2 separate regions of the Mus musculus genome follow, and region 1 is reported to be linked to region 2. Evidence: microRNA targets listed by miRTarBase, many of them from high-throughput screens and not tested one by one. Region 2 holds a microRNA gene; the other region holds the end of a gene's coding sequence.

Evidence for each region. The annotated mature microRNA mmu-miR-5130 reads CUGGAGCGCGCGGGCGAGGCAGGC and lies in region 2 at 4,958-4,981, opposite strand. An mRNA with a match to its seed (bases 2 to 7 or 8) in the 3' UTR can be bound and repressed. Matches are read on the target gene's strand: a 7mer-m8 pairs with bases 2 to 8, a 7mer-A1 pairs with bases 2 to 7 and ends in A, and an 8mer does both.
Region 1: miRTarBase lists Pld5 as a target of mmu-miR-5130. Seed matches in the 3' UTR shown: 7mer-A1 at 5,579-5,585.

What each region holds. Positions count from the first base shown.
Region 1 is chr1:175,957,454-175,964,574 of GRCm38, forward strand. Pld5 (phospholipase D family, member 5) reads right to left here. Exons shown (of 10, transcript NM_176916.4): 10 at 4,853-6,631. The coding sequence ends at 6,375. Among named protein-coding and RNA genes, the nearest start is that of Becn2, 41 kb to the left of the region's middle.
Region 2 is chr14:102,977,651-102,984,771 of GRCm38, forward strand. Mir5130 (microRNA 5130) reads right to left here and starts at 4,982; the gene lies at 4,899-4,982. Kctd12 (potassium channel tetramerisation domain containing 12) reads right to left here and starts at 4,987. Exons shown (of 1, transcript NM_177715.4): 1 at 1-4,987. The coding sequence starts at 4,790. The coding sequence ends at 3,807.

The DNA of each region.
Region 1 (7,121 bases), not on the chromosome of region 2:
TATGATAGTTTGCTGGCTTAAACTCTTTCACTATAAGTTCTAGGTTTCAGACTCCGGATGGAGTTGGGTGGGGCTGGGGTGTAGTTCAGCGGGAAAGCACTTGCTAGCGTCCTCAAGGACTTGGCTTTGGTCCTCGGCTTTGCAAACAGAGCCTGACACCAAAGGGACTTTGCAGAGAAGACACGGTGTATTTACTATAGATTTTAGGCATAGATCTGAGATAGGGCAATGGATGAATACCATAGGCAGTTGGACCAGCTATAAGTCCAGGACATGGTCTACATGACATCTCTTCATAAAACAGTGTTTGCTTTTTTATTTTCCTCAAAGTCTATACACCCTGACGTCACATTTTATTTTAAAAACATCAGATAGGAATAGTATTACAAGGATGTTTGTTGGGTGAAGCACTCCACAGTGGTCCAAGCTCCACAGGGTCAACTGTAGCTCCCTCATTCACTGTCTAAAGCAGTACCTGCCTTCTAAGATCAAGCTGAGGGAAAAAGAAATGGCTAGCTTCACAGTATGACAAAGATTTATAATACTTATGCTTGAAAAAGAAAGCCTTAGTGTTTGGTTACATAAAAGAATTGATCACTGTAAAGCCCCCCCTTCAGCCTTTTATTAGCCAATTTAGTTAATTGTCTGAAGATTGATATCCCCAAATATAAATTTATATAAGGGTGTATTAGAAACACAAATATCCCTTGAAACAGAATTAAGTCAGTAGTTGCATATAACAAAAGAAAATGCAGAAGAATTTATTACATCTTACATTTCTTACCTTTTCTGTATTTATTTTAAATGTTTATTATTTATTCGTTTAGTGTATTTGTGTGTTTGTGTGTGTGTGTTTATCACACATGAGTGTGTGTGCCAAGGCACATTTGTGAGAGTCAGAGAACAGTTTGCGGAGTCAGTTTTTCCTTCCATCCCGCAGGTCCTGGGGGTTGAACTCAGTTTGTTCGGTTTGGAGGTGCATGTCTTTCACCCACAGCCATTTTGTCAGACAGGGTCTCATGTAGTCCAGGTTGGTCTTGTGGTTGCTATGTGGTTAAAGATGTCATAGAATTCCTGACTCCTCATCACTTAAGTTCTGGGATCCTAGGTATGCACTTCCTCACACAGCTAAGTATCACATTTCTCTTTGTTAGATTTCCAATGGAAGCCAACTGACCAGTGGACTTTTATAATCCCAAGTATAAGACTGCCTGTGGATCAAAAGTAAGAAGACTCAATTTCACAGTTTCAAGAAACTGCTTTAGAATACCCATCCAGTTGCCATAAAAAGCAGTGCCTTCTAGTTCATCCAAAGGTGGGGATTCTCAAATGGAAAAAGTAGGCTAAGAGCTGGGGATAGCCTTCCTAATTTCATTTAGGTCAAAAATGACAGGCAGCTCTCTGGTTAATGAGCTATGTGATGGTATGTGTATGCTTGGCCCAGGGAGTGGCTCTACTAGGAGGTATGGCCTTGTTGGAGTAGGTGTGTTACTGGGCATATGACCTTCACCCTAGCTCCTTCCACTAGCAGCCTTCAGATGAAGACGTAGAACTCTCAGCTTCTCTTGCACCATGCCTGCCTGGATGCTGCCATGTCCCCACCTTGACTGGACTGAACCTCTGAGCTTATAAGCTAGCTCCAATTAAATGTTGCCTTTTGTTTGTTTGTTTTGTTTTGTTTTGTTTTGTTTTTGTTTTTTGTTTTCTGTTTCTCGAGACAGGGTTTCTCTGTGTAGCCCTGGCTGTCCTGGAACTCACTTTGTAGACCAGGCTGGCCTCGAACTCAGAAATGCACCTGCCTCTGCCTCCCAAGTGCTGGGATTAAAGGCGTGAGCCATTATGCCCGGCTTTAAATGTTGTCTTTTATAAGACTTGAATTGGTTATGGTGTCTGTTCACAATAGTAAAAATCCTAACTAAAACAAACTATAAGGGGACAAGGAAGGGGGTGGAAAGCATGGGCTACAGAATAATTTATCTAATATATGTTCTCAGTCAAACTTCTTATAATAGGGTACAGCAATTCATTGAGAATACACAGGCAAAGGAGAAAATTCACCTATTATCCAGGGCTGTTGATAGGATGGAGTTTGAATAATAACAACAAAGTGTTTGCATTACAGGAGCTGACTGCTCTATGCAGGGGAAGGACACAGTTTCACATGAAAATATAAAATAATATTTAAAATATTTAAATTTAAAATTTATGAAACTTTTAAATAATTCAAAGTATTGGAATTAATTTAATTATAATGGAATTTAAATTTTAATTTAATGGAATTAAAAATAATTTTAAAATAATAGAATAGAATTTGGAGAGAGAAACCCTTACAAAAGTCATGCATTTAGGTGAGAAATATAAATTTTAAAAGAATAGCATTCCTGAGACAGATGGACACTGGGTCTGATTCTACCAAGAAATTCTCCCTGACTTGTTGTTTTTGCTTTTGTTTTTAATTTTCTCCCTCTGGAACTTAGTTCCATAAATTTCTATAAGCAAATAGGAATCTCAGAATGAACGAATCCAAGTCACTTGAGAAGAGCTACAGTGGGATATGAGCCTCTCTACCCATCCCAGGTTCAATGAGATGCTTCTGACAAGCCAGTAACCATGCGTTAATAAAACACCTTTTTCAAAGAGTAAGATCAATCAACAGAATGTGATCCAACCAATCCGACTAAGAATGGCGTCAGAGTCTCAGATCAAGCAGCGCAGATTCCAAGGGAACAGTGCCCCGAGCAACACAGAAGCAGGAGCTTCCACACATCTTTTATTTCTCTTGCTGAGCCTGCGAGACTCAAAGACATCAATTTTCACGTTATGTTCCACAGGACCTTGGCAGCATTTCTTACACACTCCTTAAAGTCAGCACAAATGGGGGGGGGCAGGTTGGGCTGGGGGAGGTATTTGCACTGTGTCTTGTTTCCGTCATTTTCAGGCTCACAAAGTATAGTATTTGCAGGGAGTGGTTACAATTTCATGTTCCCCTTCCTTTCCCATGGCCTGCTAGCTCTGTGACTTCATATATGAGTAGCCAGTGACAGTGTAGTGAAAGTCACCAGGACAAACATAGGAGAGTGTGTGCCAGCGACTGGTGAGGATGATATATACATTTTATGTGTCTTGGGAAAACTGCAGGATGCATAGAAACTGTGGGTTCCACACGTTTGCTTTCAACCAGTTGGTCTGTCTGAGGCCATGCTGACTCCAAAGTGAGCAGATATGGCCCATATGGTGGGTCACTGTTGAATTTTGAAAACCAACATTTGAGAATAAATAAGGCACTAAGTTATTGTTAGTGATGGAGAAATCTAAAATGTATCTCAAACTGTGTTTGGTCTCCATCCCTTTGAAGAACAGACCCAGAATATCCCTGGAGAAAAAAATGTAGGACCGAAGTCACCTTCTTCATATTTTCCATCGGGGTATATCTCCAAATTACAAGTAGTCTTGGAGTGCTTTTTGTTTTCTGTTCTTGAGAAATAGATCCTAAGCTATTTAGAAGGGGAAGAATGGAAGTTAGTTATTTATCTTGCAGAGACTTAAAGTCTAAAAGATAAATGCCCCCTTTGTAGGACAGCATCCTGCTGAAAGAGAGCAGTCTCCTGAATTAGACGTTCTCTCAGGGGGCAGATGACACTGGGCACTCTGCACAGGGATCATTTCCCTGGGTGCTGCAGAAGGAGAGTGTTGCATGGTGGGGTGATGTGCTTAGCTGTGATGGCACAGACAAGGGTTACCAGGTCAGGCAGGGCTCCTGGTGTGTGGCAGATGCCTGTGATACATGCACAGGGCTGCCATGATGGTACGTTTGGGAATAAGTGACCTGCTGGTCATTTCATAAGTGACAATGATCTCTTTTCCTATTGCACAATACCCAAGGCAGCAACAGGGAGAGGGCCCATGCCCCCAAACCTTTGTTTGTCTCATGAGACTATTGACAAGGAATCTGGGTGACAATGGAGGGAGCCCAAAGGGAGACAACCTTTGAAGTTTCCCTTTGAATCAACCAAGGTTCCCTTTGTCTGTCCAAGAGTGAACAAGCTAGTATGTCTCCACCTTGAACCATTGCCTCCTTCCTTCCTTGGAAAATTATTCCCAAAGCTATTTTCAGACAGCTGCCAGGATGACACCCAATTCAAGGATGGAGTATATGGTAAATACTTAAGAGTCTTGTAGGCTGACCATTATTAATGAAAAGTATCACTGAGAGTCTTTAAATCAGCCCATAAAACTCGATACCCTTTAATCATAGCTTTCTCATCGGATGCTGTGTCCCTGTCCCTCTCTTAATCTCTGTCTTTCTCTCTTTTTCTTTCCATTAATTTTTGTTTGTTTTTCTGAAACAGGGTCTCTCTCTATGTAGCCTTGGCTGTCCTAGAACTTTCTATGTAGCCTCTAACCTACAAAGATCTTCCTGCCTCTGCCCCACCCCCACCCCCCAGTGAGCTGATATTAATGGCATGCATCGCCATGCCTGGATACTGTCCCAGCTCTCTTGACTGGTTTTAAACACCCAGTGAGGTGACAGGTGTCTTTGGCAGGAAAAGAACATGGGTGATCAGTAGGACTGTGAACAGCCTTCTGTGTCAGTGAACCTTTGAGTAGGGAACTCTTTTTGGCATCATTAAAACCAAGTCTCTCAAGATCAAATGAGATTGCTCATCCTTGTTCTAAAAACACAGGCACACACTGGTGCTAATGGACCATTTGCAGCGCAGCATCTAGTTATGTGTTATTATTTATGTCACCGTGACCAGGCTGCATGTTCCATTCAAATACCTACCATTCAGATGGTCACTCTGACCAACCTTCTCCACCCCTGGCCCCCATTCATATCACCTGTGTTTGCAAACAGAAAGTGCTTTATTTTGCCCTCTGGATTCTTCGGGAGAGTGCCTGGTATTGGTGCTACCAGGATACCACAGAGATTATTTCAAGAAAAAGATTATGCAATGTTAATGCTTAGCATTTATATAGGTTCTTTTGATTTCAAAAACAACTTATAAATATCGCCTACCATGACAGCATCCTTGCGAGGTAGGTGAGGATTATTGTCTACATTAACAATAGAAAACCGGGGCCAAAGAGGGAAGGGCTCTGTTCTGAGCACAGAGTCAGGAGCCACACTGGGCATAGGCATCTTGACCACTTCCTCTGGCCCTGAAGAGGTCACACCCCTCTCATGTACCAACAGTCTTTTTTAATACAGGATTATATATTATATAGATATAAAACAACACACAATGACATTATAGAACAGTAATCCAATATTTCTGTTTCTTAGTAAAATATGTTAAGCACAGTATTTAAATTGCATTTGTCTGAAAAGCATTTGGTATATTAAATAGCAGAAGGTATATTAAATAGCTCTATTATAAACATTTGCTGGCATACTCTTAACAGCATAATAATTCTAAATAAATTAAAATCCACCGACGCATAGACCTTTCCTTTATAATACTGTTAACCAAACAGAAATGTGAAACTGCTTTATTCTTCAAATGCAGACTTAATGGCTTGCTGGGTATTAGCAGGGGCACTTCATTTCTTTTTTTTTTCTTTCTTTTTTTTTTTTTTGGAGCTTGAGGAAAGGATATGTGTGTGTGTGTGTGTGTGTGTGTGTGTGTGTGTGTGTGTGTGTTTAAAAAATGTAATTGAAAGGAGAAAGTGAAAGACTGATTTCCATTCTGTATACATTCTGGGGAATTCATATCATTTCCCCAAGACATTCTCACTTTTTGAACTAATGCTGAGATGAATCCAAGGATGATGTAAAACAAGAACATGTTTGTCAGAAGACAGACTGATACCCTCAAAACCCTGGTATCAGAAGACAAGGAACAAGGGGACAGAAATGAGTGTTTTTCAGAAGTCTTGAAGGCTGGCATGAAATGGAGGTGCCTGTGCTCAGCTGCCTGGATAGGTCTTAGAGAGGATATGTCAGGGCAGATGCTTGGTTCTGTCTGCATCTTCTCCCCCCTTCCTCTAATTCCAGAATTCAGCAATATTAAAGGAAAGGGCTCACCTCATGTTATTCTTCTTAAAACCAGTGCTGATGGGTCAGCAGAAAAGATTCTAAAACCAGTAAGAATCAGGAGACAAGAACCAAGTCGTAAAATGTGTTTGCAGTCATTAAAAACTAACTCCTAGGCCAGAACAACATTCTCTGTCAGAGCTCATAGATACAAAAGTCTTAAATTTAATATACAGTGCTAAGATGTTGTTAGCTAGATATTACATGTCATTCAGAGAACATTTTAAATAAGTGTGCTTTTTATTTCTCCTTAATAAAAGAAAAGATGTAGTAAATTGTTGTCTTTCCTCTAGTCCTTCCTGCATTTGGTCTGAAGCCTTGTGTGTCTGTTAGTGAGCTATACGCTCAGCGGCTCCCTCCCGGTGGCATTGGCCATGGCAGGTTGCTTGGAGGGAGACTTGAGTTTGGACAGGCTTGAACAGTTCGGTTGTTTGGTGGGCTGTATGGATTTGGCATAAGGCGAATACCAGTCCCTCTCAAACACGTCCTTCAGTTGCTTAATGATGCTCCTGTTGTCTCTCACATCTGCCTGGTTGATGACAAGGCCCGTGCCAGCGTTCTGGGTAAAGTCATTCCCTACCCAGTCAAAATTTCCTACAAATAAAGAAATGATGATGAGAAGGTACGGTCCACTGGGAAAAGTCCCACTATAATGAAATACAGAACAGATTATATATACATATATATATATATGTATATATATATATATATATACAAACAAACAAACACCCAAAATAATAAGAGAGGCAGAATCCTGATGACAGCTCCCGAGGAAAAAAATTGCTAGAAGCTCCACATATGGCAGATTAATATTTGCATATTATTTTGGCATTTTCTTCAGCTTCGCTCAAGTCGAAACTCAAAACAAGAAATCTGCTGTTCTTTTCCTGTAAATGTTATTTCTTATTGATGTTCACAAGACACACTAAATACAGCAACATTTAAAATATATAGGAATACACTTAAAAATCCTGTGAACAATTACTACCTTCTCAAAGAGACAACATCGAATCCATATGCATAAACATTATTATGCAGAGATGCTTCACCACTGAGACAAAGCAGAAGGCAGAGATATGACTAC
Region 2 (7,121 bases):
ACCAAATTTACTATTTTTAAAACATGTCAGTTTTATGGTACTTGTAATTTTAGACTGTAAAAGAAATTCTTAAGGAATTCACTTCCTTCACTCAATATTTTTCTAAATATTTGTATAGCTCATTTTACATATAGGAGTACAAAAATTATTTGAATGCTAGATTGGAATTTATCATAATATGAAGAGTTAAAAATTTATCAAAGCTTCGTAATACATGGCTTTAACGTAATAACTGCATTCCATGGAAACGGCCATAGAAATTAGACCACGTTGTAAGCACTGCCAGTTGTCTCTGGGTATTGGCACATCATACATCTCCCCGGAGAAGCAGCAGGTATACACACATATGATTCTGCTTTGAAAAAGAAGACAATTGGGGCTAAAATTATCATTTTGCTAGCAACTGAACAAAAACAAATAAGACACACTAGAATAAAAACAGTATTAAAGGGGAAATTTCTCACACCTGCAAGGTATATTTTCCATTACATGTTTGAAAATCTAGAACGAATGTGGTTTGTAATCCACACGTATTAAAATAAAAACAGACATATCAAACATCTGATAGACAAGCATGGAACCTGGGACCTGTTTTGTTTTGTTTTTTTACAACCACAGAGACTGTCAACACTTTTTAAAAAAATTACTTATTAAACCTAATGTCATTCCATTATTTATGAGCATCAAATGGTAATTTGATCAACATATGCAAATGATTGCCTCTCTGAGATAGATTAATGCAGCCGTGAATATCTGAGTAGTTTATAATATTCTTCTGGGTCATTTCAAAGATACTGATGAGAGAGGCTCCACTGTTTGGTACAGTCATCAAATTCACAGGTGCTGACCGAGATTTCAGAACATTTTATAAGCCCTAAGGGTTTCTTCTACAACCCAAAGTGCATGGAGAGGAAAGGACCCAACGACATCAGCCTGGCTCAGTCATACTTACCTATCATATAATGAGATGACTGCTCAGACTTAACTTGGGCTGAAAAGCACTAAGTTTTTATGCATTGCCCCTAACAGCAGAGGGCACAGTCACTCCCAGGAAGAGGTCCATGTACTGTCCCTTATACTAATGGCCCAATCTTTAACAGGCCAGCCAGTATGGTGGAAGGTACAGAAATGTCTGTGTGTTAGTGAGACAAACTGAATAATTTTCCAAGCTTCAATTCATAAACAATGCAGACAAAACTTCAGCAGTTTCCCATGGCTTCTAGTGTTATGCAGACTTGACAAGGAAGCTAGAACTTCCGTTTTGTCATCTCTCAGTGTATTTTGAGCTGTCCTAAAGATGGTTTTTATTCATACATTTCTTTCTTAAGCAATCTAGCACTGTTCCGTGGCATGGGAGAAGTCTGAGACTCACACTTGGCCAGTGATTGACAGTCCTAAGTCATTTCAGGCTTGAAACAAAGGTTCTGAGCCATTACCTGATCCACCGCCTAAAAACAAGCCCAAAGCTGGAGTAAGCACAGCTTCCTGGACCCCTGCTGCCCTTTCTTTAAAATCACACACTTTGTACATGAAGCTAACTCTTCTCTAAAGGAAAAAAAAATCTCCCAATTAAAATGAAGACATCATTGGATTAAAAATATGGATAGCTTGAATACAGGTAGCTGACACATGATTACTATACAACTAACATCCCAGCAAAAAAGTATGGAGCAAACCCAGCCTTGTAGTTGTGACTGTTTTCCTGACCCAAGTTCACAGGCAAGGATATGAGAAGCTCACCAAAATGCGTTGCTTTTGTATATACACCATCAAATGCAAGTTACCAGGGGTAAATATAGGAAATTTTATAGCATCAGTAGATGAATTAAAAAACTAAATGATTCGTGTAAAATGTTTGTATATGGTATGTACAGATTTGATCACAGGAGTCTGAGAATAAAACTGTCCCAATTCATAACATCTGCCTCGGATATGATGAGATACACGGTACAAGGTTCGTTTTTTAAAAACAAGGAAAAAATAGCTCTAATTTAAACACTTCAAATGGCTCTTACAAAAATCCTTAAAAACATATTTCAGAGTAAGATGATAAAACAAACACACACACATACACAAAGGCTTCTCTGTAATCACAGATTATCCAAAGGACGTCTCTCAGAGGGAAGCATACGGGCATACCTCCTCTCTGCTGTGGTGTGGAAGCATACGGGCATACCTCCTCTCTGCTGTGGTGTACACAGGATACACACTGGGAATTCATTCCACGTGAGAGGAAAGGCAATAAGGCAAAGGTCCCCTGTTTCTGTTGCATTCACCTAAATACCGCGTTATTGCTCGGCTCACACTGAAGTACTTATTTGCCTTCATTTAGAAACATTCCACTTGACAGCTATCTACAGATGGGCAGCCCCCCCCCCCCGTGCTTCCGTTGATCTTTCGAATCTGTCACTGCAACGTCAAACAAACGCAGGAAAGAAAGAGCATTGTTCCGGTTTTCAGAACAGCCCAGCAGCCCACACTTGCTGGCCTTGCAGAAAACATCAATTTAAAAACACTACTGCTAACAATAATAATAATAATAATAAAGAGATCTGAAGTCTAAGTAATTAAAAATCAAACTTATTTTGCTTAAGTAAATAGGCTATAAGTGAGGAAATAGAATCAACAAGAAAAATAAATGTTCAAATCACTAAAAACTCTACTAGGTAACTCTTTGGTTAGGTTATACAAGTATTAGCAACTAAGTTTAGGACTCAAAATAGCTCGATAGACTTCCAGCTGAAGATGGGTCTTCTACTAATCTTGATAAAATCTAAGTTTACACGTACTGTTTCATATTTTTTTAAATGCGCACATACTCAAATGGATTATACAAACTTCCAACTTTCAAATAATAAATGAGCATGTCCCCCTCCTCCCTCCCGCCCTTCCTCCCATCTTTCCTCCCTCCCCAACCCTCCCACAGTCCTAGACCTAAGTAAGGGCTGACTGTCCCTACTAACCACTCCTGCGTTACTGGGTCACTGCCAGGTGACTTCTAGAAGCGCTGCCTCCCGCTCCCTGCCTGCTCCTAGCCTAGAAGCCTTAACCAACAAAACCTAAAGCTCGGCAAACAGCTGAAGAGAAAGGGCGCCTCCGCAGGCAGGAGGATTGCTTTCTACAATTTTAAGCCACAGGAGATCTAATGTGTTGGGGGTAAATAGAACTCTCCCCTGTTGCCAGTACTAGAATTTACTTCTACCTGTAACTTTAAAAACAAACAAAAAAATCTCTTTATTTACAGTCTCTGAACTGCGTCCTTGGGGTCTTCCAGCATACGGTCTACCATTCAATTGTCTAAAACTCTCTTTCTAATGAGGGTCAAATCTCTAACAACCTTTTAAAGCACTCTCTCCACACAGCACTCTCAGTTCTGATCTCTGAAACCGCTATGGAGTCAAAGGGTTTAAGATGTCAAGGACTCGTCCGAACTGCACGCCGGACACCGTGCAATCCGATTCTGATCAATTCAGTCATTCCCAGGTACTTGGTGACTGTCCCACTAGATCACGACAATCTGGGGGAAGGGTGGTTGGAGGCCAGGAGTAGAGGAAGCATGAGTGAAGGGCTACATCAGAACACTCTCTCGGCTAGTGGGGTCCAAAGATGATGAAGACGCCCAGAGGATTTGTGGCTGCAGATTCGCAAGTGGGGTGCAGACGGGTCTGGGTGACCTACTAGGAGATCTGGGGGTGGGGGCAGAAGGAATCGGGAAACAGGGAGGAAGCGAGGGCATCTATAATCCTGTCCCCCGAGGGGAGGAAGGGAAGTGGGCACCGGAGTGGCGAGGGGCGGGCGTGGGGAGCTCACTCCCTGCAGAAGACGTACTCGGTGTAGCTGGTCCAGATCTTGTCCTCGCTCTGGTCGGTGCTGCTAGCAAAAGCGCAGGTGCCCGTGGAGCTGCACGCCACCATGTGGAAGCCCGACTCGGACAGCTTATCGAAGGCCTGCTCTAGGAAGTTGAACTTGAGGTAATAGCGGGAGGTGTAGCGCTCCGGGGGCCGGTCGGGGTCCCGGCTCTCATTCAGGGTGTCCCCAAACACCTCCTTGGCCAGCGACGTCTTGCCGCACACGGTGATGCGCGCCACCCGCCGGAACTTGGCGTCCGCCTGAGCGTCGCGCCCGATGGTGTAGGAGCCGCGGTAGCCGATGGTGATGTAGCCGGAGCGCCGGCTGCCGTCCAAAGACTGGGACGGCGTGAGCAGGGGCCCCGCCGCGCCCCCGGACGGGCTGCGGCTAGCCAGCTCCAGCGTGGGCGAAGGCGCCCCGGCCGAGGCGCCCTCCTGCGGCTCGGGCTCTGCGTAGCCCAGCGGCAGCAGCTCATCGCCCAGAGAGCCCTCCTTGTGCACCCCGCGGCGCGAGTGCGGCGGCGGTGGCCCCGGACCGGGTTGCTGGGGCGCCCCGAGGCGACGCACGAGCTCCGGCAGCTCGAAGTACTCGGCCTCGCGCTGCAGCCGGCTGCGCTCCGGGAAGTAGTCGGGCAGCACGAGCTGCAAGTCCCGCAGGTAATCCAGGATGTAGCGGAAGAGGAAGCCGTCCCGGTCCAGAAAGAAGCGGCCTTTGCTGTCCCGGGCCAGCTCCTGCGGCTGCTGCTGCGTGAACATACGCCAGAGCAGCGAGTCGGGCACGGACACCACGGTGCAGCGCCGGGTCACATACACCTGCCCTCCCACGTTCAGCTCTACGATGTCCGGGAAGAGCGGCGGCTCCGCCGAGGACGACGACGAGCCGCTGCCACCTCCGCCTCCGCCCCCGTTGGGTAATCCTCGGGTGCTGTCCGCCAGAGCCATGGCCAAAAAGAGGTGGCCCGGATGGGCCAAGTGGCAGGGAGCGGGGTCGCGATCGGAAGCCCCAGCGGCTCTTATCGGGGAGCCCTGCGCTCAGGCGGCGGCCGGCCACTGAGAGCCGCGCGGTGCGAGCGCGCAGCAGTGCGCCCACGAGAGCCCCGGTGCGCTGCGCCTGCCTCGCCCGCGCGCTCCAGGCGAGTGGCGGGTCGCGGCCCGCGCGCCGCTTAAGTAGAGCCGCCCGCTTGGGCGGCGCGGCGCGCAGGAGGCGGTGGGCGGCTGCGGAGCCGCTGAGCTCGCTCCCGGGGCGGGGAGGGCTGGGGCGGGGTGGGGGTGGGGGAGGAGCGGGGAATGCATTTGCATGCTAAACGCTGACGCGGCTCGGGGCTGCAGGCTCCACCCTGACCCGCGCGCTCCGGGGGACGACCGGACTGTCACCGCCCGTCCGCCCACCCGCTCCGGGCCCAGCTCCTCTTCCTCTTCCGCAGTGGGTCAGAGCCTCCAGGCGCTTCTCCAGGAGGCTGATCACTAAAGCGATCCTCTTGTGTTCCCACCTCCCCTCCCGCCGCCCTTCTCGGCTGACCGCAGCCGGCACCCGGGGACTCCAGAAGGGGTTGGAAACTTTCTGGCAGAGTGGAAAAGCTTGATTGCCTGCGGCTAGCGCCCTCTAGACCTACCCGCTTCTAACAGTGCAGAGCGCTGCTGTTGGAGATCCATCCCCGGGTCTCTGGAAGTTCTGAAGAGACACTAACTTGGAAAGGATGCACCGGTCCCTTCAAGTCCAGACCACCCAAAGGTTTTTCACGTGACTATGTGACTAGCGTATAGCCTCGAAAAATCCCTAGAAACCACAAGCGAATGCTTCGCGAAAATGCTCTGTTAGATTATTTTGCGAGAGCATAAAGTCTTTGGTTAGGAAACCACAACACAGTACTGCAGTGAGCAGAAATGACTAGGAGAGGAAGTTGGGTGGACACAAAGGGGGGGGGAGGGGCTTACACTGCGTGGGCAAGAAAAGCTAATAAGCGCCTCCAATAGTGGGACGTGAGGCCTCCGGTTGCTTTCAGCCATCTGTAAATCGCACCAGAAAATTCCAATCTAATATTTTCTTTTATTCGTATTATTAGTATTTAATGATTTTACTAGTATTTCATTATTTTACTAAAATTCCGCTGATGTTTTATTTGTTCCTTGAAATGTTAATGCACGTATAGAAAATAATTTACTTTTAGCCCATGCATAACTGTTCTAAAGGTCCAGTAACCCGTGTTCTCCTCCTCCCTCCATCGTTCTCTTCTGTACTTTACAAGACCGTCCACCAGAGAAGAAAGGCTGTGTAGGTCTGAAGGCCCTTCAGATTTAGCCATGCTCTCTATGGACTCCTACTTGTTCAGCGTTTGGAGTCATGCACAAATTTCAGCCCACAGAATTCTGCCACTGCCGGGAAACCTTCCATGGTCTCCCAGGGGAATGAGACAGGTTGCTCTTCAAATTCCCATCTTTGCACTTGGCACGTTCTGAAATCTCAAATTTGTGGTCTGTTATCTGATCGTTGGTTTTTGGTGAATAAATAGATAAGGGCTTCAAGAAGCCCAAGATAGAGGAGACTCTGAAAAACCACAATTTTAATAAATGCTCTTATACGTTGCTGGGCATCAGGCTGTGGAGAATTCAAGGCTGACTACCTACATCTCCTTTAGAGCAGCCAAGAGGCAAAGGGTTGGCCATCTGAACAGTTATCAGATCACTTTGAAGGACAGGCTGTCAATCACAATAAGCCCAGAAAGATCTTTGTCTTAATAATGATGTCTACCCTTTGTGCGACTGTCCAATGAGCTTGATAGTCTTCTCACGGATGAATGTCATTTTCATTTCTGAAATGTTTATGTCTGCCAAACAATTACTGCACTCGTGTCACAGAGCTGAAATAAGATCAGGCCCCAGACCAGCCTGCTTAATTGCAGGCACAGATTTCTGATACTGAATATATTTCACCATTCTTCAACTGTTCCTTGGGATAAATGATAGATGACAGGAAAGTTCCGAGTCCCGACACTGAATGTGATATATCAGCATCTCAGGCCTGACAAAACTGCCACTTTTCTGTAAGCCCAAGAAAAGACTTCAGTGTCACCTTGGCACAACTGGGTCATTGTTCTATGCTGCCATGTCTCCCTTCAAGATCCTTCCCGTCTTAGGGTCACTACCTCTCCACCACCCCTCAAGACCAAGCCAACATTACCTCATGTTGACCAAGCCAACATCACCTCATTATCACCTCAGATCACTGCCTGGACCTCCAAACTGCCTCTACTCTAGCACCCATCAGTCTTCCAT